Lepisosteus oculatus: one gene and its partners. The protein of the gene in region 3 interacts with the protein of the main gene of each other region in a pairwise test. Links are inferred from orthologs where the notes say so. Each region holds a gene or a part of one and is shown on either strand. Other genes may lie near its edges. The genes, in order: mul1, rnf167, ube2e3 and CCR4-NOT transcription complex subunit 4.

Region 1 (7,738 bases), on a different chromosome or scaffold from region 3:
ATAACTAAATAAAATGCATGCTACATGTTCTTATATGTGTGATGTTTTCCATAACTGTAATTTTAATTAAGTTATTGAAGTGCTCCAATGGTACAGTAGTCACAGTCTACAGTATATACCCACTGCCCATTTGGCTGTTTTTATGAAGTACATTATGCAGGCTTGAACATCAGTTTTATTATTCAAGAACGAACGGACAGAGACAAGATTACTGCAGTCTGGCAGGGAGACATCATCTCTTTTAATTGAATATATAAATTGAGGTAGTAGCAACTAGGGACGGTACAACCTGTTAAATATTTTAAACAGGGCTTCCATTTCAGTTCTGTGCCTTTAAAATGCATTCAGTGTTTTGAAGGCGTTTTAATACTACATCTGCACAGGAAGTGAAACTGAAAATAAATGCAAACAGATCTTGGCAGACATTAAGCTGCAAAGTATGAATGTGGGCATGTTGGTGGGTGTACATTATGCATGATATAGGTCATTTTGCACCATTTAAGTATTTTTTCTGATGCATAATAATTGTGAGTGTCTACTAGAGTATTAATTGTGAGGGCTTTTAATCAAAATCATTCAATTATGTTACGATCACATTTTTCTCTTTAAAAATGCAGCTTCCCCACTTCCTGTTCTGATTTATCTAATCAAAAACACATTAGATAAATATTTAAAAGTTTTCAAAGTGGTACTCCTATTGCTTGAAGATTTTTTTTTTAATATGACCTTAACATTTGAAATATTACCTGCGTCTGTGGCTGGAAGGTTGCTGGTTCCTATCCCGCGGCCGGCAGAGGAATCCTACTCCATTGGGCCCCTGAGCAAGGCCCTTAACCCCAGCTGCTCCAGGGGCGCCGTATAAATGGCTGACCCTGCGCTCTGACCCCCAGCTTCTCTCCCAGTCTGTGTGTCTCATGGAGAGCAAGCTGGGGTATGCGAAAAGACAAATTCCTAATACAAGAAATTGTATATGACCAATAAAGGGATCTTAACAGTCCATCCCTATGAACTGGACATACAGTACAGTATTGTATCTAGTAAAAGCCATTGAAATTACGATAATGAATAAAAGAAACATAGTAATTGCTTTGATGTAACCACAATGTAAAAAAAAACATTTTAAAACATGTCTTATTAAAAGGAAAATCATCACATAATCCTGTGGCAATGATCTATACCTCAAAAAGCATTGCAGGCAAGATATATTATCTGTTAACACATAACATTGTGTTAATTACTGTTAAAGTCAAAGTACTGGATTTTCTATTTTCTTAACCTTTAATTTCATAGATGTTCTCATTCACCAAGATATTAAAATGAGAACGTGCTCTTCAGAGTAAATAAAATCTTCTTATGTCACAGCCATGCAGTTTGGGTTATATGCTCACCTCAGTCTCATGTTATTTGAAATGTTTTGCACAGTGTACTTGTCATCAGTTTATGCATTTGATTCAGGAAAATTTCAATTCTTTGCCATCATATAGCATTGAAAAGTTTCAGCAAGCTGGACCTTAATTGGGAAGAAAAAAACAATTAAATCACAAAGCACTTTTGGACAAACAATACATGATGTATTGTGGATACACAGTTTATGGTACAGATCACATATAACAGATCATAAATCACAGCATTGTCCGAAGCCAATTTGTTTGATTACAAATCCAATCAGCTTGGTAGGGGCTAAAATTAACATTTAATTCACAAGTTAATTAACAATTCAATTAACATATGGTCGGTGTTTCAAAAGACATATTAGCACTAAGACTCGAAAGGTGAAATACAGCACAACACACTAGCGAAAATCAAGTCTAAATAAATATAATTTATTGATCATTTCAAAGGATAGCAACAGGGTTAATTCCATCTTACAAAGACAGCTTAAAGGATCAGAAAATCATCCGTCTTGAACAAAAGAAACTACAGTAAAAAATAATGGAGAATTCATCCATCCTTTTTCCAACCACTTTATCCAAAGCAGGATGGCGATGGAGCCAGAGCCTATCCCAGCAGGCACCAGGTGCAAGGCAGGATGGGACACAAATGTACAAAATAGTAAGTAGTCTCTAGCAAAGAAAAAACTTACATCCAGTGTGAGAGTTGTGATTTCTATTTGGTGTTTTTTACCATGGGAACATTTGATACTTGCAAATTTCTAGACATTATTCTCATAATCTATTAAGCTGCCATTATTATCTTGCACAATTCAATTCCTAACAACTGTAAAGACCTTCTAGTACATAAATATGTAATGTAGATCAATGTAAAAATAGTTAAAATATCATATTTACAACAGTCAAGCAAAATAGATTAATTTAAATACTGTATTACAATGTGCAGAAATAACAAACTGGGATGAGTAACAAGCTTTGAAAGTACTGTCTATATTAAATGAAAGAAGCTCAGTACAATGTATCACAGCAATACAGGGAATAATTGTACATAAAAGTGTGGTTTGAACAGGTAAATTGAGGAAACACCAGAGGGTAACTGAGACCTGATGTTTTTAGGTACCTGTTTCCATGAGTGCAGGATAGGGAAGAGAAGGAACAATGATTGTAATAGATAACTGAGGGACCAACAGAATATCAGTGGAAAGGATGAGAGGATGCATATTGAGCATCATTAATTGGTCACCTAGGGAAGAACTTCAGAAAGAACAGCATAGTTCTGTTTGCTCATTTTCTTAGAACCAAATCTGAAGAACACCAAGGGCTCCAAAAAGCCCAAAGACACTCAATATGTTCGCAGTATGTTCTCCCCTCTGGTCCCCTCCAGAGCGCATTGCCTTTTGTAAACAGGTGGGAAGTTATTCTGAGAGGCTTGGCTTTGTTTCTGCGATTTGTTTACTTCAGTGATTTAACTTGACAGCTAAATGTTGACTCTCCGTGTGGGGGAAAAAAAAAATTATATGAATTGAAATATTTAATATGAATTAAAATGAATTAAAATGATTTAAATGCTGCATTTGTTTGCTAAGTAATTTCAGGTTTATTTATCACTCATTTGTTTTGCTTCCCCAGATTTTAAGGAATCGGATGACGGATCACTTACACAGGACAACAACTATAGCTGCTAACATAACTGTCACAGAAGACATATAATCCTGAATACAATCATTAGGAGGCTATAACAGTAACAGCGTGAGTCAGAGTCACCAAGCTGTGTCATTACAGCTTCTACTTCTGTTTCAGTATGGCCCTCTACACATCACCAGGGATGAGGTTTTCTGAATATTCGAATGGCAAACTGGACTAAGGGTATAATTTTCCTGAGCAATCACGAATATTTGCAATAGAGACTACAATGTTCCATTGAAATCTCTGTAAGGAAACAACACTGTTGTAGTGGTGGTACTGTAATGCTACTGGGGCCATTCATGTCCACCCAAAGAGTTAGTTTATGATTGATAGTGCTTTCGCTGCACAGAATCATGGTATGCTGAGACCTAAGCTCAGCCCATTGGTGCCTGATGATGGTGAGACATGGCGTTACCATAGTAGCAGCACCTGCACTGCATGTCAAAGTGCTAAATTGTCTGGTGGCAGTAAGCAGGTGTTGGGCTTTTGCAGGGTGTATCTTAATTGTTTTGGCAGCCATAGTTGTGATTTCGCTTGAATCATCTCATTTGATTAGTTGATTAAGTACCTTCTAAGGGTAAGTGGTGCTTCTAGAATGCAGTGATCGTGGGTTGAGGTGCATCATGATACCTTCATCTGAGCAGATACACAGTGTCCTTTGCACATGCAAATTCAGAAGTAAACATTACATTCCACACGTAATCGGGAGATAATGAGGAATACAGAAAGGGAAACTTGGGCCGCAAGGGGTTTATCAACGTGCATTGCTCAATTGATCACTAGGGTTGACTATACATATACCTTCTCTTTCTAAAAGTGTTTTGGTATGCTGTCATTTCAGGAGAAATGCTTCAGTTATGGGTGGCACAGTGGTTAATAGTGCTGCCTCACAGTCTAGGGCTCTGGGCTCAAGTCCAGACCTGGGGTGCTGTCTGTGTGGAGTTTTTTATGCTCTTCTCGAGTTTCTTCCCACTGTCCAAAGACATAATGGTAGGTTAATTGACTTCTGGGAAAATTGGCTCCAGTGTGAGTGTGTGGGTGTCTGTGTGTCCGTCTGTCCTGTGATGGAGTGGTGTCTCATCCAGGACATACCCTGCCTTGCACTTGTTGCTTGTGTGGGTAGACTCCAGCTGCCCCCCCTGACCCTGAATTGGGAGAAGAAGTTAGAGAATGGACTGATGAATGCTCCAGTTATATAATGATATAGTGAACTATAACTGGCAGGCTATTAATGTGGTAAAGCACAGAATATTAGTGAAACTTTAAATATACTTTGAAAAAAAATGCTGAAGCATTCAAACTAAGCCCCTTGTGCACTGAGGCCTTTTTTGAGAAGAAGAAAACCTATCGCATCTATCCCATTGTTGGGGTGTGACAGGTAATTATTACTATAGAGAGAAAACTATGTGATGTCTTAGATAGGTCAAAGGCTTCTGAGCACAACAAAGAATTATTCAGTTTATAAGGAACTAAAGATGTAGGCAGGATAATATAAAAAGCGGTTTTCTGATTCAATGTCGCCATCTGCCGCTTGCGGGCTGTTCAGATAATCGCTCTCAGCAATTCAGGTTCCTTGGACGGTCGTTATTATCTATCCAGGGTGCGGGGCGGTTTTTACGTGGGCCTGTGGTTGAATAAAGTAAATCTTTAAGTTAATATTCGAGTCACGGAGCCTAATATTGTTAGAATATTAATACTCAGTGAATATTCCGATTCATAGACGAAATATGTTTGTCTTCTTCGTAAAGATATTCTTTGTAACGGATGCCAAAAGACCAAATTAGAAGCCCTAAAGTTAGCTTGAAAAGTTACGGAGATTGTAGCCACTTGGACCAGGAAGGTAAGAAGAATCTTCCTTTGACATACTACAAATAAATTGAAGATTTTGCATCTGGCCGTGATTCCTAAATGTAATTTTCCGTGTAATTCGTGTTTTTTAAGCAATTGCAGCTCCCCGTTGACGCTGTGTTTACGTAGCTAAACAGGAAGTCGCCTAAAACGTCCACAAATTGACCTACTGTAAACACGGCACGTTTCTAAGTTAAAAATGTTACAGTATATAAGCAGTAAGCACAATGTTACAAATTGTGATTTTTATTTATTGATTGCATGTATGTTCTCGGCGTTAGAATAGCTAAAGTCAACACAAGCACCGGAAATGGAGGTTTTAAATCCATCACAGTTTCAACGACGTAAAATTAAACTAATATAAAGCTTGAGGTCTGCAATTATATGAATACCAATAAAAACGAGATTTTCGTTTCGTGATTCGTGGTTAACGTCGACACGCTAAGTTATTGCTTTCGTAGCATTGTCGGAATGCTATTTTTGCAGTACGTTTATTACAGCCAGGGTTGAGTAGAAAAGCTACCACATATGTTAAGGAAGTTAATAAAAACGAAAATATAGACTAACATGGGCTCCTTGTCACAAAAGGAAGCCATAATTCCATGCTTACGACTTTTCTACAACCTATTGGATGCATTTAAAAAATATTTTGCTCTCTAACCAGATAATGTCCATAAGGAAAAATAAATATGTAGCTACTGTATGTGATAGAAGTCAACCCAGTGGCCTGTACAGTATATTTCCTAGATGATAATAATTCTTCACAGAGAACAGAGTGATGAAGCCAGTTAATGGATGGGGATCATTAGGAGACCATAACTGGTAAAAGCCAGGGGGAAATTTGAGCAGGACACCTGGGTAACACCCCTACTCTTTGAGAAATGCACTGGGGTTTTTTACTGACCATGAAGAGTCGGGACGTCAGTTTTTTCTCATCTGAAGGACAGCACCTTTTTTATCGACTCCTCATCTCTATACTGGGGTATTAGGACCCACACAAACACAAACCTTAGCTTTCCCATCCGGGTACTGGCCAGGCTCACACCTGCTGGTTTCAGTGGGCTGCCATTCGTGAGTTGTAGAGTGATATAGCTGCTAGCTGTCTGACTTTGTTAAAGCAGTAGTGATTTTAATTTTGTTAATCTAAGTGATCTAAATCAGATAGTTTTAAATGTGTTTTTTCTTTGCATTTGATTGATAAAAAATAGAAGTTTTTTTTTCATGTGCAGAGCTTCCAGCGAATCAGCTATTCTTAGTTTTTTTTAATAGGACTAACAAAGGAGCTTCAATTAATTGCAGTACTGAAGACCCTTAGAAAATATAAAGGACCTGTGTTCAGGCTCAGAAAGTCCTCAGGAAAACACTCCCAGGACTGAATTTGTTAAATTTGGAAAAATATTTCTGTTGTAGAAAAGGATCATTTTCCTTAAGCTTTCCAGAGAACTTGAGAGCCCTACCCTGGAGTTCTGTATCCAGCCTGTTGCAGTCTGACTATCCTGGAAAATGACTGACCTTGTTATATTCCAAGCCAGCAGTAGATTGTTTCCGAGTAATTGCCGTGCAACAAGAAAAGCTATGTTTTAGGTTTTAAATTACCCATTCATCATGTATATTTCGCTTGTATAGAGCAATTCGACACAATTCTCGTGAATGGCAGATCTGTATTATGTTTCTTTTATTTTTTATCTTGTGGAATTGTCTGTGAAGAAGCTTGATATTATTGGCAGTAGTACTTCTTTGTGCCACTTGGTGGCAGTGTGTATCATGAAACTATGCGATTGTACATAACCTCTTTAAAATATGAATACTTTTATAATTAAATATCAGCTAGCAAGGAAAGTGATGCAAAATTGTATAAAACAGGTCCAGGTGAGCCCCAATCCAATATGTCTTATCTTCCACCCTATTTAATGAGATTCCAAAGCCTGGGGCTATGATATTGATCAATTAAACATATCATTTACACAATTAAGAGAACTTTAGTATTTGAAAACTGCCTGATCCAAATGATTTTAACTGTTCATTTAGTTGAAATATTAATAAATTAATGATTTTAGGATCACCTATAAGGTATTAAAAGGGTAAATCACATGGTGGCAGTTTCCTCCTCTTTATTCTAAATTCCTGTGTTTCACAAAAGTAGTTAAAAACTGTGAATGTACACTTTTTTCTCCAGTTCTAATTCTGATGTTATGCTGTTGGAGTATGTTAGGTGTATGTAGTAACAGTGCTTTACAGATCTATTTAGACGTACTGTTTCCCGGTACTTCACGAAAAACCAAAGATTAACATTTAATAATGAAATAGCTTGCATGCTATTTACTGATAAACAGAAATAAAACTTTATGATTAATATGTGTCCATCTATTGCCTTTGGTTGCATCACTTTGTTCTGGAGGGGTGTATCATATCATATCATAGGGTATCATATCTGAATTTTCCTCTTCTACACATTGCATAAACTGTTAAAAGCATTTTATAGTAAGTTGATGAGTAATTGCTTGTTCTGCACACAGTGTAGTTACTCAGTGTTGTAGCCTGCCTGGTTGAGAGGAAACTATTCTAATCATTAGCTAGCAGAATGATGTTGCAAAATAATTAAAGAAGTTTACAGTCTGTACTCTCAAAAGCTATAGCAGTTATAAATTACACTTAGTCTAATTCTTTTATCTTTGACAAACAGTAATCTGATCAGATTAGGCTCTTGGCCAACTTCCTTTGCTGTGTTAAATTAGATTTCTGAGGCTGCATTGATGGCATCTCTTGTTGCAGTTAAAAAAAAGCCAGCAGTAACAATATTGGCTTTTGTGGTG
Region 2 (7,828 bases), on a different chromosome or scaffold from region 3:
GCCTCTCAGTGCCCTACAGATCAGGTATGTTAGAATATCAGACAAGGTCTTCCTGGAGTGGTGTAAATGGTTCTCTACTGCCACCCCAGGTGTTCGGAATTCAGGCAGTCTGGGCATTCACAAGAACATTACATGATTTCCCCCCCAACTCTGGTGAACTGCTCGAGGCAACAGCAGACCTGGCTCATGCCCGTTTGCCCATCAACACTTGAGATTGTGCAGATAGGGAAGGAAGAAACCAAAGTGGGAAAGGGGCGAACCTCTGGCCAGATCACCACTTCCATAGTCGGACATTTTAAACTTCACTTCACGCCCCACCGTAGATCAGACCCACCTGTACAGATTATGGCATAACTCCAGCTCTCCAGTTCTCTGCTGTATCAATATGGGATGCTGGTCCTCAAACACCTTCTTGGCTTAAAAAAAAAAGCATAAAAAGCTTAAAACCAGTCTAGAGCTTCTGGTGTCCCCTACATCCCTCTGATCACAACCCTACAGCCAGACGCAAGATTTCCAGGCTTAAGCACGAGAAACCCTGACCTTTGCCCTCCCTCAGCTCCACAGCCCATTTGTCCGACACCCAGCGGTAGCAGGGGAAGAGGACGGTCTCCCCGCTGGGGGTGGTGACCTCCACCTTGGAGCAGAACCAGTCGTCGTCCGGCAGGAAGAAGCCCTGCTCCTTGTCCAGGCGCACGAACAGGAGGTCACCCAGCGGGTCAGGGGCGGAGACTGCCAGCTCCATGACCTGCGGCAAATGACACCCCAGTGGGTTAGAGTGCGCTGGACAGCTCTCTGACCGGGCAGGCAAGACCTGCAGATAAAGGCCAGTACATAGTGAACACGCATCTGCTGGAGTAAGAGTACAGTCTAACACACCACAGAGCTGTTCTTACAAGAACAGGGGGTCTTAATACCAGCAGGGCAGAGCCTTCCTGAACAGACACAGGAGAAGAACCAAGTCTCATCTATCCCCAGGCAAGAGGAGACCGGATATTTTGGTCATCAATGGTATTTTAAGCCACACTATCATGATCTAAGCCCACTCATCCAGACTTGATCTCCGCAAGCCAGAGTGCTATATGAAGTCCCCCTCCAACACCACCTCCACAGGCATTTCCCCTCCTCACCATGCCAGAGGACAGGTCCTGGCCCTCAGTGGAGAGCACAGTGCGCTCGCTCCTGTCCTCGGACCCAACCAGCGTGATGAAGACCCGGTCGAAGGTGCCGGAGTGCACCATGTCACCTGTGGTCACGGTCACCTTGTACGTTTCCATCCTGCTGCTGCTGAAAGACCTCAGCGACAAGAGCATTAATCCCCCCCATCTGTGAGCTTTTATTAAAGGGTCCCACTTAGAACTCACCCTCCACCACTCTCTGTGTAAAGCATCTCTCTTCCCCATATAAACAAGCCTTTCTAACCTCAAACGGCTTCCTCAGCCACAGAATCTGATGCTAGCATTGGAAAGAAGAATGTTGTCTTTTACACAGAGGGCTGCAGGAGTCCAGGGCATGGGGTATCATTCATTGTTGTAGGGGCTTACAATAAAATGAATGAAAATAAACATTTCAAAGGAAGAGTCACTCAAGCCCATGCCCTCCCAGGATCATAGGTGAAGAAGGCATCTATCAGTCTAGATCAGCCCATCCACTAGCACACCTGCAGAAGCTCAGGGGCAGCCAGCCAGCAGAGGAGCTGTGAGCATCGCATCGCTGGCACACGAGCACCTGTACAGACTTAGACACAGAGAGCTCAAAAGTAACCAAGGAGAACGTAAGCATACCCACCTACAGTTCATCCACCCCCACCACAAAGCTGGAGGCCAGCAGCTTCCCTACAAACCAAACCACAACACAAACAAACTGAAAAACCTGCTCTCAATCTGCTTTATAAATGTGCTTCACCCGCCCAGCTGTGTCAGACCCACCTGGACCCAATTAGCACCTGATTGTGCCCGTGATGTCATCATTCCCACGCTGACCTGTAGACAAACAGCCCTAATGAGGATCTAAGTGCAATTATCTCACAGGGAAGTGGGGGATTGAAGCTGACCTCTTGCATGCTGTTATGACTCAACGAGCTGACCAGGCATTATGTATGATGTATTTACCTTGTAATTTGGACCATCTGCACTTTGCACTATGTTTATCCTGTCTACAATGTCTTTGTCAGTGTCCTGTCTGCCTGTATTTTCACCTTGGACGAGGAGGAACGATATTTCCTTCCACTGTGTACTTGTATACAGCTGGAGTAAATAAGCGTGAACGTGAGGCACTCACGAGGGGGTCGAGGAGCCTTCTTCAGCTGTGTCACGTTGTGTCTCTTTTGCTTGGAATAACAGGTTTGCCTGTTCCTTTGCAGCCCATGCATACTTACGCATCTCCCTCCTCCAACTTTTGTGTGTGTGTATGCATGCATGCATGCGCGCGCGTGCATATATGTCCACGTGTGTTTATGTGTGTGCATCTGTGCAAGGGTGTTTATGTGCTCATGTAGCTGTGAGTGTGTATGTGTGCACGACTCAGACACAACACTGAGCTCGGAAGGGAGTGAGCACCAGCCAGCGTGGCTGACTCAGGTCAGATGGGCAGCAGGCCAGGTGGACACAGGAAAGGACAGAGAGAACTGCTGACCACAAGGTCAGACTGAAACCAGTTAACCCAGGACACAGACCGCAAAGACCTGGTTCACCCCAAGACAGCAGATGCAATAATTAGAACAAGAATCAGATCTCTAGCCCAGTTTTATTGAGGGCAGCGAGTCCAGCGGCCAGCAGGGGGCAGTGCAGCTGAGCTGGCAGCTCCTGCCAGAAGTGCTCCAACTGTTTCAGTGGTGCTTCCTGGTCCTCCTCCTCCTCCTCCTCTGGCGCTTCACACTGGACCTCCTGACTCGCCTCCTCCTGCGCACTGGACGGGACGCTCGTCTTCGCCTCTTGGCCATGTCTGCGGTCTGCCCGAGAGGCGGCGCTGTGCCCTTTTTAAAGCCTCCGGGAACAGGCGCTGGGCGGGTGCCGGCTACGTCTCGCGTGAGATCACGGGGCCGCCCCTGTTACCTGACGATGACGTCACCGCGCGTGGCCTTCACGAGTTTTTCAGGGATTGACACGCGCTAAACGCACAGCACCAAAGGCAATTTATTTACCAAATTGAATACAATTTGTTTTCATAGAGAACATTAACAAGAATGAAAAATACTAATAAATAATAAGGAATTCGTTTTTTATTATCCGCTCGTTTTCCAACTGATTTATCCAACACTGTGGCGCACATTATTATTATTATTATTATTATTATTATTATTATTATTATTATTATTGTTGTTGTTGTTGTTATTATTATTAGCCTTTATTTGTCGTATGTACATATACATTAGAATTCTTATTCGCGCCGATCTCTCGGCACATGCTCGGTCCAGCAGATGGCACAGTACGACAGACAACTGTAGTACAGCCGTGTGCGTGGACAGTACATTACAAAACGGTACAGAATAGTTATAGTATGTACGGACTATCAACAGAGCAATAACTACAAACAGAGCAAAAGTCTCTCGTTTGACAGAACTGTCTCGCCTGTAGCTCTATTAGTAGTACTAGTTCTATTAAAAAGAGCCCCGATATGAGGAGTTTTTCCAAGCACAGTAAAATAACCCAGCACGTTGCGCCACAATGTTAGATGCGGAAAGGCGAACGGACTCTCTCTGCCCGCTTGCCGGGGTGGGGGTATCTGTTCAAGGACCGCTCCGAGATGTTCCTCTTTCCTTTTGGTCTTGTTTGGAGATCTGGCGAGTCCGTGAATAAACACATCATGCCAGGAAAGGCTATTTCGTTTTGTACAGGTCAGGGCTTCAAGGCTCTTCTGCAGCGTTGTCCGGTGCTTGTAATGCGAGAATCTCGCCACTAGAGGTCGCGGAAAACCGATCTCTTCAGATCGATAACAATACCGTAATGGAGCAAAACACCTCGACCAGCCTGGATTGTTTCACACTCGTACATCACTACTGCCATGTCTCTGTACGCCTTCCGCAGGGTATGGATAAATCAGTACTTCAGGGAGGAGAGCCGTAGGCTCGTGAAAAGACCCCCCCTCCTCCGCCTGGTCCTGATATCTGGCCCCCGTGTGTGCGAGAGCAGCACAGCTGTAGTGGACAGCACGCGTCTGGGGATCCCCGCAGGAAGAGCTGTCCACAGAGCCAGAGGGGCAGGCGGGCGCTCCGAAATAACAGCTTATTATTTCACTGAGACACGCAGCCCCCGCGGAGGCTGAGCACGCAAGTAACTTAGACAAATGAGCCAGGTCTGACGCACCATATTGATCGCACTTAGTAGGTCGCCGAATATCACGGTTAGCGACAGCCAGGCGATGGCAGATGCGATCTACTGATCGATGATATATTGGGCAAATGCCTGTAACCAAGGCGATTTACAACCACCCGCTCGTTAGTAAATAAACAAAGCCGTATGAAAAACAGAAACCCAGTACCATAATATACTTTCGCCCATTTTGACGGTGAGGCTAAATCTGTTTTAATATAGCTGCTCTGTCTTTCTGGAGGGTATGAGTCCAACACAGAGACACGGAAAGGGGGAATTTAGGACAGACACTGGTAGCTGAACTTGCGTGTTTTTAAGGCAGTGGAGCGGAGTCCACACGGGGAGACCATGCAAACTCCCCACCCACGGCCACTCAAGATCAGAAATGAAACGGGGAGCAATGTCAGCCTCTGTCTGCTGGATCAGCGCGAGAGAGCGCGAGGGGGGGTGATTGCCGACCGATCTGTCTACGGGTCCACGCGGGGTGAGGGGGCGGAAGTGATCTCCATTCTCACCGGCTTCCCCCGAAAGGGTTAACGGGCGTCCAGATAACGCGAGGCCCGGGATGTGGGCGCCTCCATCTTGGATTAGGCCAGGAAATCCAGACACAGAGATCCGTCGCCTGTAGCTACGGCCCTGCTAGCTAGCTAACGAGCGAAACAGAGATGGGGGGGATGTGAAATCTTACGTAAACACACATCGTACTTTCACACAGGAAAGGCTATTTTCCGAAACAAGCACGCACGGCAGACAACTGGAAGTTTTTTCCCCGCAAAAACCTTCAAAATAATACGGGAAAAGCGAGACCGAAACAGATTTGTCGACTTCAAACGACTCGACGACTGTAGTTGAAAGGTAAGATCCGAAACCGGAAGAAATGTATTTTTATGGTCAGCACAATTATTATTGTGGCGATGTGCACGGACTGCTCTGTCGAATGTTTTAATTCTGGTTGCACACAAAAAAACAACAACTCTTCAGTCTTGAAGGTGCGGTACTTTATTTTAGTCCCTGCAAAACGAAAAAAGTAACACTCTTAACTTAGGTAGCTAGATCATTGACTTAATATTAATTTTTAACATTATTTTGAACGCTCTGGGTAGCCTGCCTATGTGTGATGCATACCACTGCGCAATCGACTGGCCGTGTTGAGCAAAAGGGTTATCAAAAAGTAAACAGGCTAGGGGCTTTTTAAAAGTGGGTTTTCCGGTTCTGGACAAGATTAGAGACTTTGTTTACACCGCGGTTTGATGTAGGAGCCGTGCGAATGCATGTTAGCTGATAAGGTAAAGCCAGCTATTTGTGTAAAATGTGACTTATTGTTCACATTTTGTCCTAGCAGCTCGGTTGCGAGAAGTTGATAAGGGGGTGACTGTTCTTGTGTTTGTTTTTCTAACTGTGACACAGGGCACATTCTAGAAGAACATAAAGTGTCCGACGAGAGCAGCGCCGTTCGGTTAGTCCTGATCGTTTGGTTTTCTGAACAGCCACCCGGGTCCGCGGTGATCACTGGAAGTCTGGCTTCTGTCACTGTAGGGTCTTTGCTGTTAGTGACATTATTACAGTCCAGGTCACTGTGGGGTCCTTATTGTTGGTGACATTATTACAGTCCAGGTCACTGTGGGGTCCTTATTGTAGGTGACATTATTACAGTCCAGGTCACTGTGGGGTCCTTATTGTAGGTGACATTATTACAGTCCAGGTCACTGTGGGGTCCTTATTGTAGGTGACATTATTACATTACGGGTCACTGTGGGGTCTTTACTGTTAGTAATATCACAGCCCGGGGCACTGTGGGGTCTTTGCTGATAGTATTATAATTATAGTACAGGTCACTGTGAGGTCTTTACTGTTAGTATAATTATCATGGTATAAGTCAGATAAAGCTAACAACATCCAAAATGTGTTGTGTTGGCCCTGTGTTCAAAGATGCATCAGGTTGTCAGTGTTGTGATCATAAAATGTCAGTGTTGTGATCATAAAGATGCTTGGATGTGGTGTGCACTAGACAGGAGTGAATGAACTGAGAGAAACGCTGCGTGTGAAGAGTTTGTGAGCGATCACTAACTCTGGAGTAAACTTTAACAGTGAATTCTGGGATTCGGCTTTGATTCTGAGTGGAGAAGGGTTAACTGCAGTGTCCCTGGACGCACGGTGGACAGGTGGGATCAGTAGCCCTGATCATGGGGCAGGCCATCCCTTGGCCAGTCTCCTTTCTGTAACAGCACAGGCAGCAGTGCTCTGCAGATGGCGAATGGGAGGTGCTTCTTTACACCAAGTGTGGTGGGTGTCTGGAACAGGCTGGGCTGTTCAAGCAGGTTCCTGGCAGAGCCAAAGTGGCCTCTTCTCGCCTGCGGCCTTCCGTGTGTTTTCGTGTTGGGGGGGGAAACAGGTCTAGCAGGGCTGCACCCTGATCTTCCTCCTGTGGTAAAGAGACACCGGCAGGAGAATTAGGTGCCAGATTTGTCTGAAAGGTATTTATACAGCAGTTGCCTCAGGACATGTATTAACAGAGTACTTTCACAGTGTGAAAGTGTGTTAGAGACCGGAAACCTCTGTCCCATCAAGCCACCCATTGACTCGAGAGCTGAGTGAACCCACGGCACCCCAGCTTTTACACATGGGCTCCCAGTCATGGTCCTGTAGGACCCCACACACACCTGCTGGTTTTCATTCCAGCTAAATTGTAACCTTAATTGTGCTGACAAGTTGGTAGATGGGAACACTTGCAAGTTTTTTGAAGGGTTGCTCACAGAATTCATGGGTGAATAGGTGACTTCCAATATATTTTAGAGCTGAAAACGGAGGAACAGTTCGAATCAGTACTTTTATTTATTCAGTCAAGGGGTCGATTGTGTCACGGAGAGCTCAGCTGTGATTAGACCCAGTGTGTGGACCTCCAGAACCAGGACTGGGATCCGCCGCAGGTCCAGGAAGCTGGAATTCTGTGTCTTCTGATTAATGAGGTCTGCTGTCACTTGGAATGGGTCTGCTCCCGTGTGCCGGCACTACACGCCCTTCTGGGCACTCTTGGGAATCTGCCCTGATGCCTCCGAAGCTCCTCGGATCCTCACTGGCAAGGTGGTTTGTCAACATCCAGAAGGATGACGGCAGATCCAGGACGCATGTCCGACTGGGGAAGGAACTGGGCGTTCAGACAGCGTGCAGTGGGCGCAGCTCTGATGGTGTGATCAGGGCAGCTGCGGTGGCGTCCCAGTCAAAGTCCGAGCCGGTGCAGAACTGATGGGGAAGGAGCTCTGGGGACCCCGACTCCCCCGAGGGAGCCCTAGAGTCGAAGGGACGGGGCACGGAGAGGGCGAGGCGCCAGGCCCAGGCCCTGCTGCTGTGGGCCTTTCCTTCCGTCTCGGCGAGCTTCTGTGTTTTGAAAGTCACCATGAAGTACGTAACGTCATGTGAAGTGTCAAAGTGAAATTCCTGGGACTCTTTCGCTTCCAGTAAGTGACCTTGTGAAAGAGGAAGGGCTCAGTGCACTCTGGGCTCGAGGCCAGCTGCAGCCAGAC
Region 3 (7,163 bases):
ATAACAGTTTTATTTATAAGAGCTTTTCAACAAAGTCGAAGCACTGTACAATAGAATACTGTACAATAACAGAAGGAAAATGGGAAGAGAAAGCATAGCAAATTGACTGTGATATGAAGAGTAAAACTAAATTATATATTAAAAGCTTAAGTGAAAAGATAAGTCTTTAAGAGAGATTTGAAAATGTCGAGTTGCAGACTATCTAATGGATTTGTGAAATGAGTTCCATGGACATGGTGCTACACAAGACAAGGCTCTATCAGCCATTTGATGGAGTATGCTCATGCTATTAATCTTTAAAATAACATAAAGCTAGTCCATTCAAAATCTTCTGCGTAACAGGAAAAACCTTAAAGTCCAATCTAAGTTTTGGGGGGATTATGTGCTCATGTAGTGCTTTTTCTCAGCACACAAAGTGTAGGATTCTGGATTGGGCAACCTAAAGCCTCTTTAGGACCTTAGAAGGTCTTGATTTTTATCACCATTAACAACACCACGAACTTTCACTAACTTTGCAAAAATAACGTTGGGAGCCAACCTGTTTAGTGCAAAAGGAACCAGATGACACAAGTGGAACAATGAGAAGTGTATTTAAAACAGTTAACTGGAGACAGCTCTTTTACATGAACAATCTAGAGGGTCTGGAACAGGCTAAGACATGCTATTGAAACTGATACACTGATTTGTTTTGTTTGGATGAGCTCTAGATATCAATTACCTATTAAAAACATTTTTTTTTCATTAGTAATTGCCATGTACTACACAGTACTATTATCTCAGTGGAGGAAATTGCATTGGTTTAAAAAAATACATAGAGATTTCCAATTAATCAAAGATATGCCCCAATTGATTCGTTTTTTAAAATTACACACTGGAGCAGTCAAAAAACACTGCTCCATACTGAATGACGACATCAAAGAACACCATCAATTTATGTAATTTTCAATGTTCAGAAACAATGCAGTTCCAATTAAAAACACAAAAAAAACACTACAAAAATTGTTTAAGTTAGAGAGGTTATTTTCAACAGTTTAAGAAAGGAATCTAATCTGTATCTCAAAGTAAACCTCCCGAAGAGCACTGAGAAGAAAACACCTTCTACAAAGGTACGCCTGTCTGTCTTCAGAAATGGATTACCCTGCTGCTTCTATCAAACCTTTTGAAGATAACAGAGCCACTGCAATCAAACACAACTGCAGTTTACTAGAAGCAGGGATTTCAGACAAACTGGCAAAAACTTGCCATGATAAATCCTTAAGAAAGCCTACTGCCAGCAGCTGGCATTGCAAGCACACTTAAGAAAAAGAAAAGTCAGCTTCGAACTTGTGGACAGATTGAGCAGTAGGCCCTATAACTGGCACCAGGACTCAAACTGGGATGCCTGACAAACCTCCTCAGGAATGGTACAGGAAATGTAACGTGACAGGAAAGGAGGGATTTCTGTGGCAAAACCAATTACCTAATTTAAACATAAGAGAACACATTAAACTGAACTGAAATGCATGCCTGGGGAATCAAGGAAGAATATTACTGTCTCATGCAAAAAGGACATTGAGTGTCACGATTGCAGCCCCTCCCCCTTAAGAGCACTCCAGCTCTTTCACATTTGAGTTGATTTTGTGCACCTGCTCCCTGTTCCTGCCTCCCTACTAAAGCCAGACACTCACTGTGTTCCGGGCTCTTCATTGGTTTCCAGTACCAGCCGAGTCCGGGACCTGGAGTGCCAGGTCCCGTTCCCCCTTTTTCCCCCCGACCCTCCGCCGGATCCAGCTCCGGTTTTTAACTCCATTTGTCTTCGTTTTGAATGGACCACCCGGCTCTGGATATTTGCCTCATCAAGGATTTCCCTATGGACACTCCTTGGACTTTTTGCCTTGGACTTACCCCCCCAGAACACCAGTGCACCATGGACACGCCCCCTGTTTTCCTTCCAGCCCCCTTGCATACTTTCCCGGTTTTTCCTCACTCCTCCCTGGATTGTGTTGTCTGCATAGGGTCCTGAAAGAACGCATTAGTTACATTAAGACCAGTTAAATCAGTTAGAGCAGATTTAGAAAATTCCAGAAAATATTCTAACAGACCCACAAAACAGACTAAATACACTTACACCTGTGGGGTGGAGCAGTGGCTGTGGGATGGAACAGTGGCTCTGTGGCTAAGGATCTGTGCCTGTGACTGGAAGTTTGCCTGTTCAAATCCCGCAGCCGGCAGAGGAATCCTACTCTGTTGGGCCCCTGAGCAAGGCCCTTAACCCCAGCTGCTCCAGGGGCGCTGTACAATGGCTGACCCTGTGCTCTGACCCCAAGCTTCTCGCCCTGTCTGTGTGTCTGTTGTTTATGCAGAGCAAGTTGGGGTATGCGAAAAGATGAATTCCTAATGCAAGAAATTGTATAGGGCTAATAAAGCAACATTAAACATTATTACAAGCCTTTTCATCTGTTTTCTGGAATTTATTTTTTTTAATTTAAGAATTGGCCTGGGCCCTTTCTTCATCAGTTTGAGAACCACACTGTTTTCCTTTCAAAAGGAAAAACGGCATTCTTGTGTAGGAAACGACAAATTATTTCTGTAAGCTTCTCCAAATATGAGGTAAATGGTGAAACAAATAACTTATCTGGAATAAAATTTTAAACTATGCAACTTTAACACATAAAAACTCACATAAGTACAGTTCTTATTAAAAGCAAATGACTGTTATTAGAGCAACTGATGACAACATTTGTTATATTTGTCATTGTTATGTAAATCAAGCAAGAGGATTCCCGAGGATAACTGTAGAAAGACGCACATTTGTTCTTGACAACAAACGCCAAAACTATCTTTAACATATCCTTGATCGTGATGTCATCATTCCTGGAAAGCTTGGAGCACGGGCAAAGTTCAAGTTAGCGTGAAAGCCAGCTATGGAAGATCAATTTAAAACGTTTCACACGCGTTTTCTAATGTAATTATTTTTCTTGTAATCTGTCTTATTCAGTGAAACAAAATCAAGAAATGAACGTAAACATTTTTCTAATGTTGTGAGTTTTAAATGACACATTTTGATGATGATAATGAAAAACCTTAACTAAAGCAACTTCTTTAAAAACAACCTGGTGTTTACAGTATTCAGAACAAGTATCATTCATTTCATGGCTAGATAATGCTTCTCTCTCAAGCACAGGTGGTTTCTGTATCGCTTAACGTTCGGAGTGCGTAAATTCCCATGGTTAACAAAATGTTTGCAAATCATTCCAGGTGATTGCTTTTTGCACAGAGAAGGCACTTCATCGCATGTCTATTTTCCAGATTTATAATTGCTGTGATTCGTTTCTTCCTGGCTTATTGTGCATGAAGCAAATATTTTAGCGTCGTATTCGTTGAAAAAAAAAGAATGATTGCCCTTTTAGACGCCGCACTCGAGTCCAAACTATGGACACTGTTGATTCAAATCGTTTTTAATGTTGCTTGCATTTTAAGAGTCGCAATTTTGCTAAAATGTTTATCGGTCTTGAAAACATAAAAGACGAACCAGCCACAGTCTCATGGTTTATTCGAAACGTTAAAATGTAAATTATTTAGAACCATGACATATCCAGTTATTTTCTCCAAGAACGCATTACGACCTGATTTGCCATGCTTACCAAGGTTTCTTCTTACACGATTGTCCAGATGTTTTCAAGTTTCTTCGTAGTAATTACCCTTAACTGACTGGGCAGTTATAAGTCACTGAGGTAACTGGTGAACTTGCACCCTGATGTTGGAAAGTACAGAACTTTACTTAAGATTCCACATAGAATTTACACTCTGAAAAGTTTGGAACACAGCTAAATGAGAGCAGACACTTGTCCTTTCCCGGTCCTTTAATTTATTGCATAACAAAACAACAAAAAAACATTGTCCTTGGCACTTATGAATTCCTGTAGATGCCCTCTGTTTTTAATAAATCCTAAGTGCGCGCAGGATTCTCAATTCAGAATGAACTCGCAGCAGTGGCAGCCAGAACCATAATCGCTGAGTCGGCTGTTTTGGCACATTATCCTGCGGAGGGAGTGATCCAGAAGAGCCGTCCTCCCTCCGCCTCACAGCTTTGCTCCGAGTCCCGAGACTCGTGCGCCGTGCAGCGCCACCTGCTGAAATCAAGCTGGAATTACAACCCCTCTTCTCCTTCCGATTCTCCAATGTTCACAGCTCGGCCGGAGCCTGTCGTCTTCCCGGCTCCATTTCCACAGGATTTTTACCACTCGTAACCGCCCCAGATCAGGACAGGATCGCGCTAAAGGTAAAGAAGAAGCTTTCAGGTATAGGAAGAGTCCGGGGTAGGGGGAGAATTATCGTCCTTTCTTAGTATTTTTAGCAGCTGTCGCTAGAGAGGGAGCTAGAAACTGACTTCACGCATCAGTTGGTACACCATGCTGATACTGGAGTGCCTCCTACCATAACAAACCTCTTCGTTCTACAAAGGATTTAAAGCTCGGGTCCGCAAATTTTACTTTGCTCCCAGTCCGCGGCAAATTAGTTATATTTTCTTATTCGTCGGTAAAATGACGCTCCTTCCTTAAAGTGAGCGAAACATAAAAAGGTTTTATTTAGCCCCCCTCGCTGTGAAAAGGTGCAATTATGCTTTCCTTGCAGCTCTCGAATCCGACCAATTTCTGTGTGCTGCTGGCGATGTAAATAGCCGTGTTTTTCCGTGTCATTTTCTCAAAACATTCCAGCCTCAATGCTTTTAGAGGCAAAGAAAAAAGTCCACTCGCACTAAACAATAGCAATATGGAAAGAGAATTAGCTATGTCTCTGTAAAGCATGTAAAATACTTCATTACTGTCAACGATGCAAATGCACGGTGGGTAGTGTAAATATTTACAAGCTGTTTATTGACTGTTAATTTTTGCGGCACATAATCATTTTAAATATTGAAATAGATGTTTATTTACCGTTTCTGATCAACGCTTGGAAACGCGTGCATCGCCTGCCCTTCAGAAGGAAAACACAGTACTAAAATAACGTGCATACCTCAGAATTCTACACAATAATGCACAGTTCTTGCGGGTCCCGCACGAATTCGTGTATAGAGTTCTGTTCATTCTTACTAAAAACACACGTCCTACAATAGTTAATGGATAAGTTTCTAGATGATTACAGCTGCACAGCTACATATAGGTTGCACGAGTTACAATCCCAACAGTTGCCTAACAATAAACATTATTAATTTGGGGCTGGTAATGATCAGTACGCTTGGAAATAACCTACCTTTCAAAGCTTGCAATGGCATTTGTGTGTATTTGAAAAGTTTATCAGCAATCAGTAATGCAAGTAGTGCATTCAGGAAATCAATAGGCAAGTAGCGCTGTTTATAAACATATCCAAAAGAGAAACGGTGCAGAAAACACAGATTAAGCACTTATGTGCTGTTAGTGAAGTACGAGGTGGGGAGGGAGGGTGGTGTAGCAACTCCAGTCAAAGTTCAGAAGTTCTTGTTGTTCAAGGGGGAAAATGTCTAGTGACAGACAACGTTCAGACGACGAAAGTCCGAGCACCAGCAGTGGCAGTTCTGATGCGGATCAGAGGGATCCGCCGGTACCAGAACCTGAGGAGCAAGAAGAGAGAAAACAGCCCACAGCAACTCAGCAGCAAAAGAAAAATACCAAATTATCCAGTAAAACAACAGCTAAACTGTCCACCAGTGCTAAAAGGTAACATTTGTTTCGTTTTTTTTTTGTAAATCGGCGTGTTTGCGGTTTCCTGAAGGTTAATGTTTTCTCACATATTTGTAAGAGAGGCCACCCTTACGGTCCATCATTAGGTCTAATTTAATATAAATGATGTTCTAGACATATAATGTTTTTAAGTTTTTAAACAATGTCTTAACGCATTCTTTTAGACAAATTGCTTTATGAAAGATGATTTTCTAGTTGATGGTTTCTTTATTTAAGGGTAGGTTTTGAGTTTGTAACTCACTGAAGGCTTCATAAACCCAACTTCTTAACATCTCCAGTCAGTTCTTACTGCTTAATCATGAGTAAAAGGAGTCACTTTTTTACTATGTTCATACATCAGATATATATTGAATCATTCTTTTTTTCTTTCGCTAATAATTTATGGTTGGAAGGATCAAGTTCTGTATTAAGGTAAAAGGATGCACTGCTTATTGGACTAAACAGGTGTGTCGGCAAATGAGTTTGACATTTCTATGCTGTTGGTGTGACTTTGAAGTCTTGGGTTTTCATTTCCATATGTGTTTTTAACAACTTTCCTATTGTTACTTTTGTGTGCCTCTAAGTCAAAAGGAGGTAGAACTGTAAGACCTCATTGAATAGACGAGTGACGCGATATGATCACCTTTGATTTTGGGTGACATTAGGCTGCTGTTTACAATAAAAGCACAGGCAGGGACAAATAGCATGCAGTGGAGGAAGATCGGACAGCTGCTGCAGCAAGAAAATCACGGCTTTAGATTAAGAACACTTGGAGTCATACTTTAAATCAAGAAAAAAAATATTTTAAATGAAGTTTACAAAATGTGGGGAATAGAGCATAGAAAAACATTAAAATGAAAAAAAGTGGAATATTTTCATTTTACCTGCATGCTCTTAAGTTAGTAACAGTATTAAAGCATTGGTTTAAAGCCCTTGTCAAATATGCCTGAGCAACCCCCCTCCCTTTCTGTCTCATTTGCATATAAGCTTTAAAAGAAAATCTTTTGTGCAGGAAGTGGCTGGAACCTGAAGATTGCGGTCTTGTCAGATGCCTATAAAAGAAACCTGTATGGTGGTGTGAAGAGTGGCATTATAAGGTGAAGAGAAGGCGAGAAATAAATGCTGCAAAGTTTTCCTGTTATGGGATTCGGGTTATGCCTCTGAGAACAAAGAGGAAGCAGCCATGTTAGCTTTACTGAAGGGAAAGCCAGTCTTGCATTTAACTGCGTGGTGGTAGAGGGCAGTGTAATTCCCCGACTACTTTAAATTCTCAGAGTCTTTTCTCATTTTCTCACAGAATTCAGAAGGAGCTAGCTGAAATTACTCTGGATCCTCCGCCTAACTGCAGGTATGTAGAGTAGTTTGCGTTTGTTTTCTTTGGGGGCTAATTTGACTGACAAATGTTTATTAAAATCAAAAACTGGTAGTTGCCATTTGATGTTTTTAGAGGTTTTGATATATTAAGCAGTTTATGAGATGCCAGTA
Region 4 (7,015 bases), on a different chromosome or scaffold from region 3:
AGTAGGCACTTTATAATAAATGGGTAAAAAATGACTGGAAAACTTTCAAATTAGGACATTTTCCAGTAACCAAAAAAAACATTTTAATTATGTAGATACTTTTAAAGGCAGAAAAGCCACAGCTATTAGCTAAGGTTGGCACTCTCCATATTTCCTAGAAGCAAGATAGCTTATAAAGTGTAATTAAAGTAGATACAATTTCTCAAAAACTGAAAGAGATGCATTGAAATGGTGTAGAGATTCTTAAATGTTGCTTAAATGTCTAAAAACCAGCGAATTTTAATTTCTGTGGTTTTGGTCAACTTTACCGCAACATCTCACATTACTCAGGCCTAAAAGCTGAGCCTTTTAACACTGAAGTGGTTCAGAGACTCCTGACTCCAAAATACACAAAAGAAAACAGACAACTTTTGCAGTTACTTAACAGTCTGTTAAATATGCTTTAAATATGCAAGGTAATTGTACATTACCTTGGTCCTTACTGATTTATCGTTTGCAGGTAGATCATAACAGGTACCAAAAATAAATATGCATTCCGTTTTCCCGGTTTTGGACAATAGACATCAGCAAACAAAATTAAAGACATTTTGAAACTACACGAGAAACACAGAGAACATGATGAAAACATAATGAACACAACGACCAGTCATACAAATTCTAACATCCAACTTCTCATATCTTTGTATCCTAACCTACCAAACAGCACAGAGGAAAACACAACGATGCCATTTGCCAACGTCTATGTTTTTGAAGAGATGGTTAGCTGTTTAAAGATATCTATTTATCAATTCCGAGACAAGACTGAAGAGAAACTAACCCGTTCTTCTGACTTTTGAATATATTATGCAGTGAGCTTTGTGATAACACACAAGACACCGCAGAAAGGTTTTCAGGATAATGGGGGAAAAAAGTGGCCACCACAAATATCACATACCAATATTATGGGCCATTTTAATTGCCTAAAACAAGAAATGTTCATGTTACCACTGTGAGAAACTACAGAAGCACTTAGCCTTTATCACTCATTTGCAGACACATGAGGTGTAATAGATGTACCAGACATGGAGCGCATATGCACTGTCCTGGCTTTACTCTCTGTGCCCTAACCTGGGAGCACTAAGGCTTTGTAGGCAAATTATTTCATATTTTTGTAACTTCAATAACCAACTGCCTTAAGACATTTCGTTTTGCATCTATCCTGGATACATACATGTTTCCTCAGGCTGACCTTAAACATGCTGATGACTTCCTGATTCATAGCTTTCTGGCATCACCTGCTTCTACTCAACCACCTTGGGACATATCGATAAGATGCTGTCATTTGTCTTTAATTGTGGAGGTGACACACACCACTGGCAACGTGTGAACTCTTTATCACTTGTTTACAGTCAATTTTCTGTGCACATCATACACACAACTAAAACTCTGCTTCACTTGAGACACCCTCCATTGAAAAGACAACCCCTCCAGCTGGATATAGCTTTTCTGGCACTTCCACATTAAAGACAGCCGTTCCCAACAATACTGAACAACACTGAAAAGAAAACCACACGGATTGAAGACCTGCAGTTTATCTATTCAGGGAAATATAATAATAGGGAGGAACACAATCATCATTCCTGATCTTTTTGTAAATCATTTTACTTCCAACTTGACCCGAAGAGCATATGCATATATATATATATCCTAGCATCCCAGAAAAACAAAATATACCTATCATTGTGCAGTTTTCACTGCATTTTAAAACTCCTTCCCAAGCATTTATAGTGCAAATCCCTGTTTTCACAATACAATGTTACTAGCTATGCTAATCTTTTTAAAGTACTACTGGAAATGCATGCATAATGTTATCCTACCATTTATAGGTTTATAGGTTTGAACATTTATTTAGAAAAAAGGCAACTGACTTAAAACTGTCCATGATTAACAACGCAACAAACAGACCAACACGATACGTCTCACGACTGGTCCTCAATTTATAACGTAATGTACCTTTAAATAAGGAAGAGGAAATGTTAAACTTATGATTTAATGGAATTGAACACTTCGGTGACTTCCTTCTAGAAAACAACGCATTCCCCTGAGTTCGTAATTAAAATTAAATCTGCTGGAATATATTATAGCACAGCGTAACCATTATGGCACAGTTTGCCGGTCAACTCTTCTAGAAGTCTTAGACCACAGGACAATTTCACTCCTGATAATATTTTGTAGCTACGACACATTACGAAAGCATTGGCGTATTACCAGTGGTAAAAAGTGGGAGATTTAGCTTAAATAAACATATCCCTTTTATTTACAATTAGCCTCTTAACCAAGGGATATGTTGCCTTTTCTTTTACTCCACGCAAGCCCTGTGAGTGTCTGATCTCAATCATTACACACCCCAAATTGTGATGTTTTGCGCTCGCAATATCAAAAAGCCGGTCAAGTGCATCCTGCGTTTCCACTGAACGCGAAATCTGAAAAAATCACATGGCATGGATATTTCATTTCATGTACAACCCGATTATGATGCGTTGCGGCACAGTGCCTCTTTTAAAGCAAGGGTGTAGCAAAATATCTAAAGTGAAAAACACAAGAGGCGTTTTGCACTCGCAGCAGTGCGGCCTGTACAGCCCCGGCAAAGCCTGCGGACTCTCCCTCCAATCGGATCCCAACACAGAAGACACTTCCACACAGACATTGACGCTGCTTCCTTCCCATAACTAGGAGCCAAAGAGAAAGGGTGGGAATCTACTGAAAGATGGATTTTTATAGAAACATATACATATCTTCCACTAGCCTATCCCAGAATCCTAGTTTATGGTGATAGTTTGTGGGATACTCACCCTGTCTCTCTATGGCTCTCTGAGACTCCTCCAAAGGTATATTCAGATCAAATGGGGCGGGGATTGATTATCTTTCTGAACTGCCCAGAATTGTGTTAGCAGGCACCTTGAATTCTTTCTGCGTTTTTTTTTTGTTCAGTTTGGATTTGATTTGTTGAGCAAATGCCTTGCCTTTTCTTTCAGCCTCTCTGTATGTTGCAGCAGCACCTTCTAGCCACCATCTTACATTGGACTAGGGAGGAGGGGGGGGGGGGGGGAGTTGAACATTCACATCGTAGTGAGTGTGCGCGCCTGCTGGTCTCTCGGGGCATGTGGTTAATGTAGTTTTAGGTAAAAACACATTGAAGCAAATTTGATTAAATCTTAAGGTTTATTATTTCTGTATAGTGTCGTATCAATAAAGCATCATATAAACAAAACCATAATTTTAAGAACATTCAACTTGAAATACACCTCAATAGCACAAATACATAATTTGCTCATTTTAAGTACTACAAATCCCAAGATGCTCTAGCTCAACAGAGAAAATTGTTACACATGGGGGAGGGGTGATTTTTCTACTTCTCTGACGTGCCCTTTCTCTGATGTAATTGGGAAATGTAGTCATATCGGAACTTCTTGTGCGACTGAGAAACTATCCGAAGCCCATTCCATCCGACTTAGAATTTAAAAGTTTTTATGACATGTTTTTGAACAATTAAAAATAATTTAGAAGCTCAGACATTAGGTTGCTTAACACATTTTAAATCTTCAGACTATGTTAAATTAAGTTTATTTTTTACTCCTAATTACGATTTTTAATCGGAAATTGAATCTTAATTTAAAATCTTAATTTGAAACATTAAGTTGTAACAAGAAAATATTTTAAAAGAAAAGCTTAATTTTTAAACAAAAATGTTATTTATTTTCTACCTTTAGTGTTGAAACGCCGTCAAAAAACAATCGCCCCCACATGAATATTAACCACAAATACGGTATAATTTAACTTTAGTGTGACGTTTATCAGAACCTTTACATACCCCTATAGAAGGGGGAAAGATTCACCTTGTCTAATGCAACATAACCCCCAGCGACATCTTCTGAAAAGAAGAATATCACTTTAGTGTACATTTATTAAATAAGGATCGTTATCACAACAGAAACAATTTTGGTCGAATTGGAATACTATTCGACACCGGTACACATCACCGTTTTCCAGCCGTGTTTCTCACCGGTGTTTCTACTTTGAGCCGTATGGCTACTACACCTGTCGTAGCAACACTGTAAAGTACATACATGTAGTTTCTTTGCTCAAGACAACACAGAAAATGACAAAGTCAGTGGCGTATAAGATAAGGATAAGACCGATAACAGTACAAATAGTCGAACTCCGTAATAGACATAGAATTAAGCTACATGATCCTGTATTTTAGTTTTTGCGTAGTATTTTACAGCTGCTTCGTTTCCTCATTTCCAGCTGTTGAGAATGATGGAAATGAGGAAATCTGATGGAAATGGAAATCTTCTTTATCTTTTAATTTTTTCCTTTGTGCACAAGCAAAGTCCCGATGCTGTTGTTAGGTAACGTTAATGATGATTCCTGTCCAGAAGGCACAGCCAGCAGAAGATTTACTAGTCCGGAGGCTTTACACGATGCCTTGTGGTGTCACCCATCACAACCTTCTGAGTGACATAATGGCTCATGAATGAGGAGGGGCCTGTCTGGGTTGTAAACAGTCCTAGAAGAAATGGTATGCATGATCCTCTTTTTGACGTCCCTGGTACAGTTAGATCTCCATTGGGACTCATAGAGATAAAAACGTTTGTTGAAACGTTGTTGAAAAGGTGACAATAGAAATGATGCGCTCTAAAAAGAACTTTTTTTACAACTTTTATGCGCTAGAGTGTTTTCTTATTGTTTGTTGAGTTAGTACAAAATGTGTATTTGTCCTTGTATATTAAGTCATGTTTTTCATGTTGTGATGCTCAGCCTCTGCTTGCTGAATGGTAACCATCTATATCAATACACTTCTAACCTATTACCTTCCATCCTCTTCCTGGATGATCTTTTACAACTCTAAACCTCTGAATACCTTTATACAGTAGCCTCCCCGCAGCCCCCCATCCTCCTATTACGTGACTATGTTATTGAGTAATTTTTGGCCTGTGCATGCTGACATTGCTGATTCCTTTTCTTTTATTTTTCTCACTAGCAATGGCATCCAATTGCACAACGCCTTGCTCATTCTTCTCTTGGGAAGGGGGGAACAGCAGACGTTTCTGCTGCTGATCCTGTCTAACAAGTACAATTGTTTTACACCAATTAGAGTCTAACTGTAATGTGTCTGACAAATACTATTCTTACTTCTTACAAGTGTGTCTTCAACTGGCATACCCTGAGTATTTCACAATACCAAAAAAAGGAGAAATGAAAAAATGCAATAAAATATTATGAATCTGTTACTATACTTCAATTGCAATTGAGAATACATTCATTTATCTTTTTTAGGGAGCTTCTCAGTGATTAAACTAGAAACTGTGCTGTGCAGCTGTGCAGCTCCTTTTCGGTTGTCCTTAGAGCTGATCCTGAAGAGCTTTCGCAGTCCTGAGCATTACATGTGATGAGTTTTGTTTGCTTCAAAGTTGAAAAAAATCTTCTGATTGTAATCATACAGTAGGGGATCATGAGTATTAAGGTTGTTAGTTAACTTCAGAGAAGCTATTTTGGAAGACCAGCTGTGCATTATTTTGTGCTGGTCAAACTCTTTCCTTTGCAGACTAGAGTTGTATATATCATGCAGTTTTTCGCGGAGCCAGCTGCGGTCACAAAGGTGGGATATGATGCTTCCTGAGATTTCATTGCATCATGGAGGAACTGTTTGGAATTCTGTAAACCTTTTTGGATTTAGTTCTCGTTTTACACTTCTTTGATCTAACAGTGAACTGTTCAGTGATGTTATCAATTATTTCAAAAATAGGTACTTGCATGTTTTGTCATCTGCACTTTTTTGTCTCACACTTTCCTACCTTGATTTAATGTATACTGAACTCCAAAACCTCTTTCCAAAATTACCCAGCTCTTTGGCAAATCAGTGGAATAAAAAATACAATATCATTCAGCTTGGCTTGAAGCAGGTTAAACAATAGCTCTGTTACTTTAAAAAAGTCACTGTTTAGATATTTTCTACTTTACACCATTAAGCCTAATCAGAAACCCTTAGGCTAAGGAAAAGGAGCAGTAGCATTTCAAACTGCAAGATTTTACACCTCACTTTCAAAACATTCAGTCAGAGCCTTTCTGCTTCGCTTCACAGTTTGTGAAGAAATTCAGACTGCCTTGTAGATTGGGAGAAAAATGTCACTGATATAAAATGTCATCCTGTTCACCATTCTTATAAAATATTAGCTCTTGTTCTCTGAGATTATGCCCAACATGGATCAGGCTTTGCAAAAGCCAGTTTCTGTTGCACACATAGCTGCAGATCAATGTAAGCTTGACCAAGTGTTCTTAATTGTTCATATGCTGTAGCTGTCACTGACTAGTTTAAAGGTGCTCATTGAGTTTCAAGCACATCGCCCACAACATGGAAATAGAGTTGTTGCTGCTTTTTTGTGCCTTCCAGATGGTGAAATTCACCAACTGTATGCACTGGGTAGCTTTGCAAAGCACAGTTGTAATACAGACCTAGACTGGAACTTACTGGACTTACACTCTTCTGAAGAGTGACACCACAAGGCATCATGGAACCTAGAGTAGTGTTTCGTTGCCCAGGCAACCCAATGCAACTACAGGCATTGTGCAATCTGTGTTCACAAATAGATGAGAAGGGACACAGGTGTTATCACCTTTTCTCTCTGGGGAACATACAGCATTACAGTTCAGATATTTTCATGAAATTATATTAGTTTATATTAGTTTGTAGTAGTTTTCGTGAGACACTCATTTAATGTAAATAGAAATAAATAAGGATGGAGACACAGTTCTGCCAAGTACATCTCTATAGCATTCACAACCGTCAAGGCATTTATCTACAGGCACTGCAGGCAATTTACCAGCCCAGCAGAGGGAGAGGTGGAGGCTTTGCTCAAATTCACCAAATTTCACCAAAGTTGATTCACAACTTGCAATCACTGTTTTGTTTGTGGGGCAGAGGGTTACAGAGCCCTGGGTTGTATCAAGTTGCCAAAAGCATTGGGAAACAGGA

The links.
Region 1: the proteins of ube2e3 (region 3) and mul1 interact in a two-hybrid assay, tested with the Homo sapiens proteins (2 studies listed by BioGRID and IntAct). The link is inferred for Lepisosteus oculatus from reciprocal best matches to the Homo sapiens genes UBE2E3 and MUL1.
Region 2: the proteins of ube2e3 (region 3) and rnf167 interact in a two-hybrid assay, tested with the Homo sapiens proteins (2 studies listed by BioGRID and IntAct). The link is inferred for Lepisosteus oculatus from reciprocal best matches to the Homo sapiens genes UBE2E3 and RNF167.
Region 4: the proteins of ube2e3 (region 3) and CCR4-NOT transcription complex subunit 4 interact in a two-hybrid assay, tested with the Homo sapiens proteins (3 studies listed by BioGRID and IntAct). The link is inferred for Lepisosteus oculatus from reciprocal best matches to the Homo sapiens genes UBE2E3 and CNOT4.

Annotation. Positions count from the first base shown.
Region 1 is NC_090720.1:10,744,974-10,752,711, reverse strand, and holds the start of mul1 (mitochondrial ubiquitin ligase activator of NFKB 1), read left to right. Parts: upstream 1-4,651; 5' UTR 4,652-4,917; intron 4,918-7,738. UniProt on the Homo sapiens protein: Exhibits weak E3 ubiquitin-protein ligase activity. E3 ubiquitin ligases accept ubiquitin from an E2 ubiquitin-conjugating enzyme in the form of a thioester and then directly transfer the ubiquitin to targeted substrates.
Region 2 is NC_090698.1:10,553,080-10,560,907, forward strand, and holds the start of rnf167 (E3 ubiquitin-protein ligase RNF167), read left to right. Parts: upstream 1-4,827; 5' UTR 4,828-5,162; intron 5,163-5,273; exon of another isoform or gene 5,274-5,296; intron 5,297-7,828. Other genes in the region: polyunsaturated fatty acid lipoxygenase ALOX15B-like, read right to left, coding at 328-416, 541-811, 1,128-1,400.
Region 3 is NC_090707.1:18,945,558-18,952,720, reverse strand, and holds the start of ube2e3 (ubiquitin-conjugating enzyme E2 E3), read left to right. Parts: upstream 1-4,152; 5' UTR 4,153-4,261; exon of another isoform or gene 4,262-4,280; intron 4,281-5,453; exon of another isoform or gene 5,454-5,468; 5' UTR 5,469-5,475; coding exon 5,476-5,675; intron 5,676-6,975; coding exon 6,976-7,026; intron 7,027-7,163. UniProt on the Homo sapiens protein: Accepts ubiquitin from the E1 complex and catalyzes its covalent attachment to other proteins. In vitro catalyzes 'Lys-11'- and 'Lys-48'-, as well as 'Lys-63'-linked polyubiquitination.
Region 4 is NC_090702.1:25,323,536-25,330,550, reverse strand, and holds the start of CCR4-NOT transcription complex subunit 4, read right to left. Parts: upstream 3,064-7,015; 5' UTR 3,003-3,063; exon of another isoform or gene 2,832-3,002; intron 1-2,831. UniProt on the Homo sapiens protein: Has E3 ubiquitin ligase activity, promoting ubiquitination and degradation of target proteins. Involved in activation of the JAK/STAT pathway. Catalyzes ubiquitination of methylated RBM15.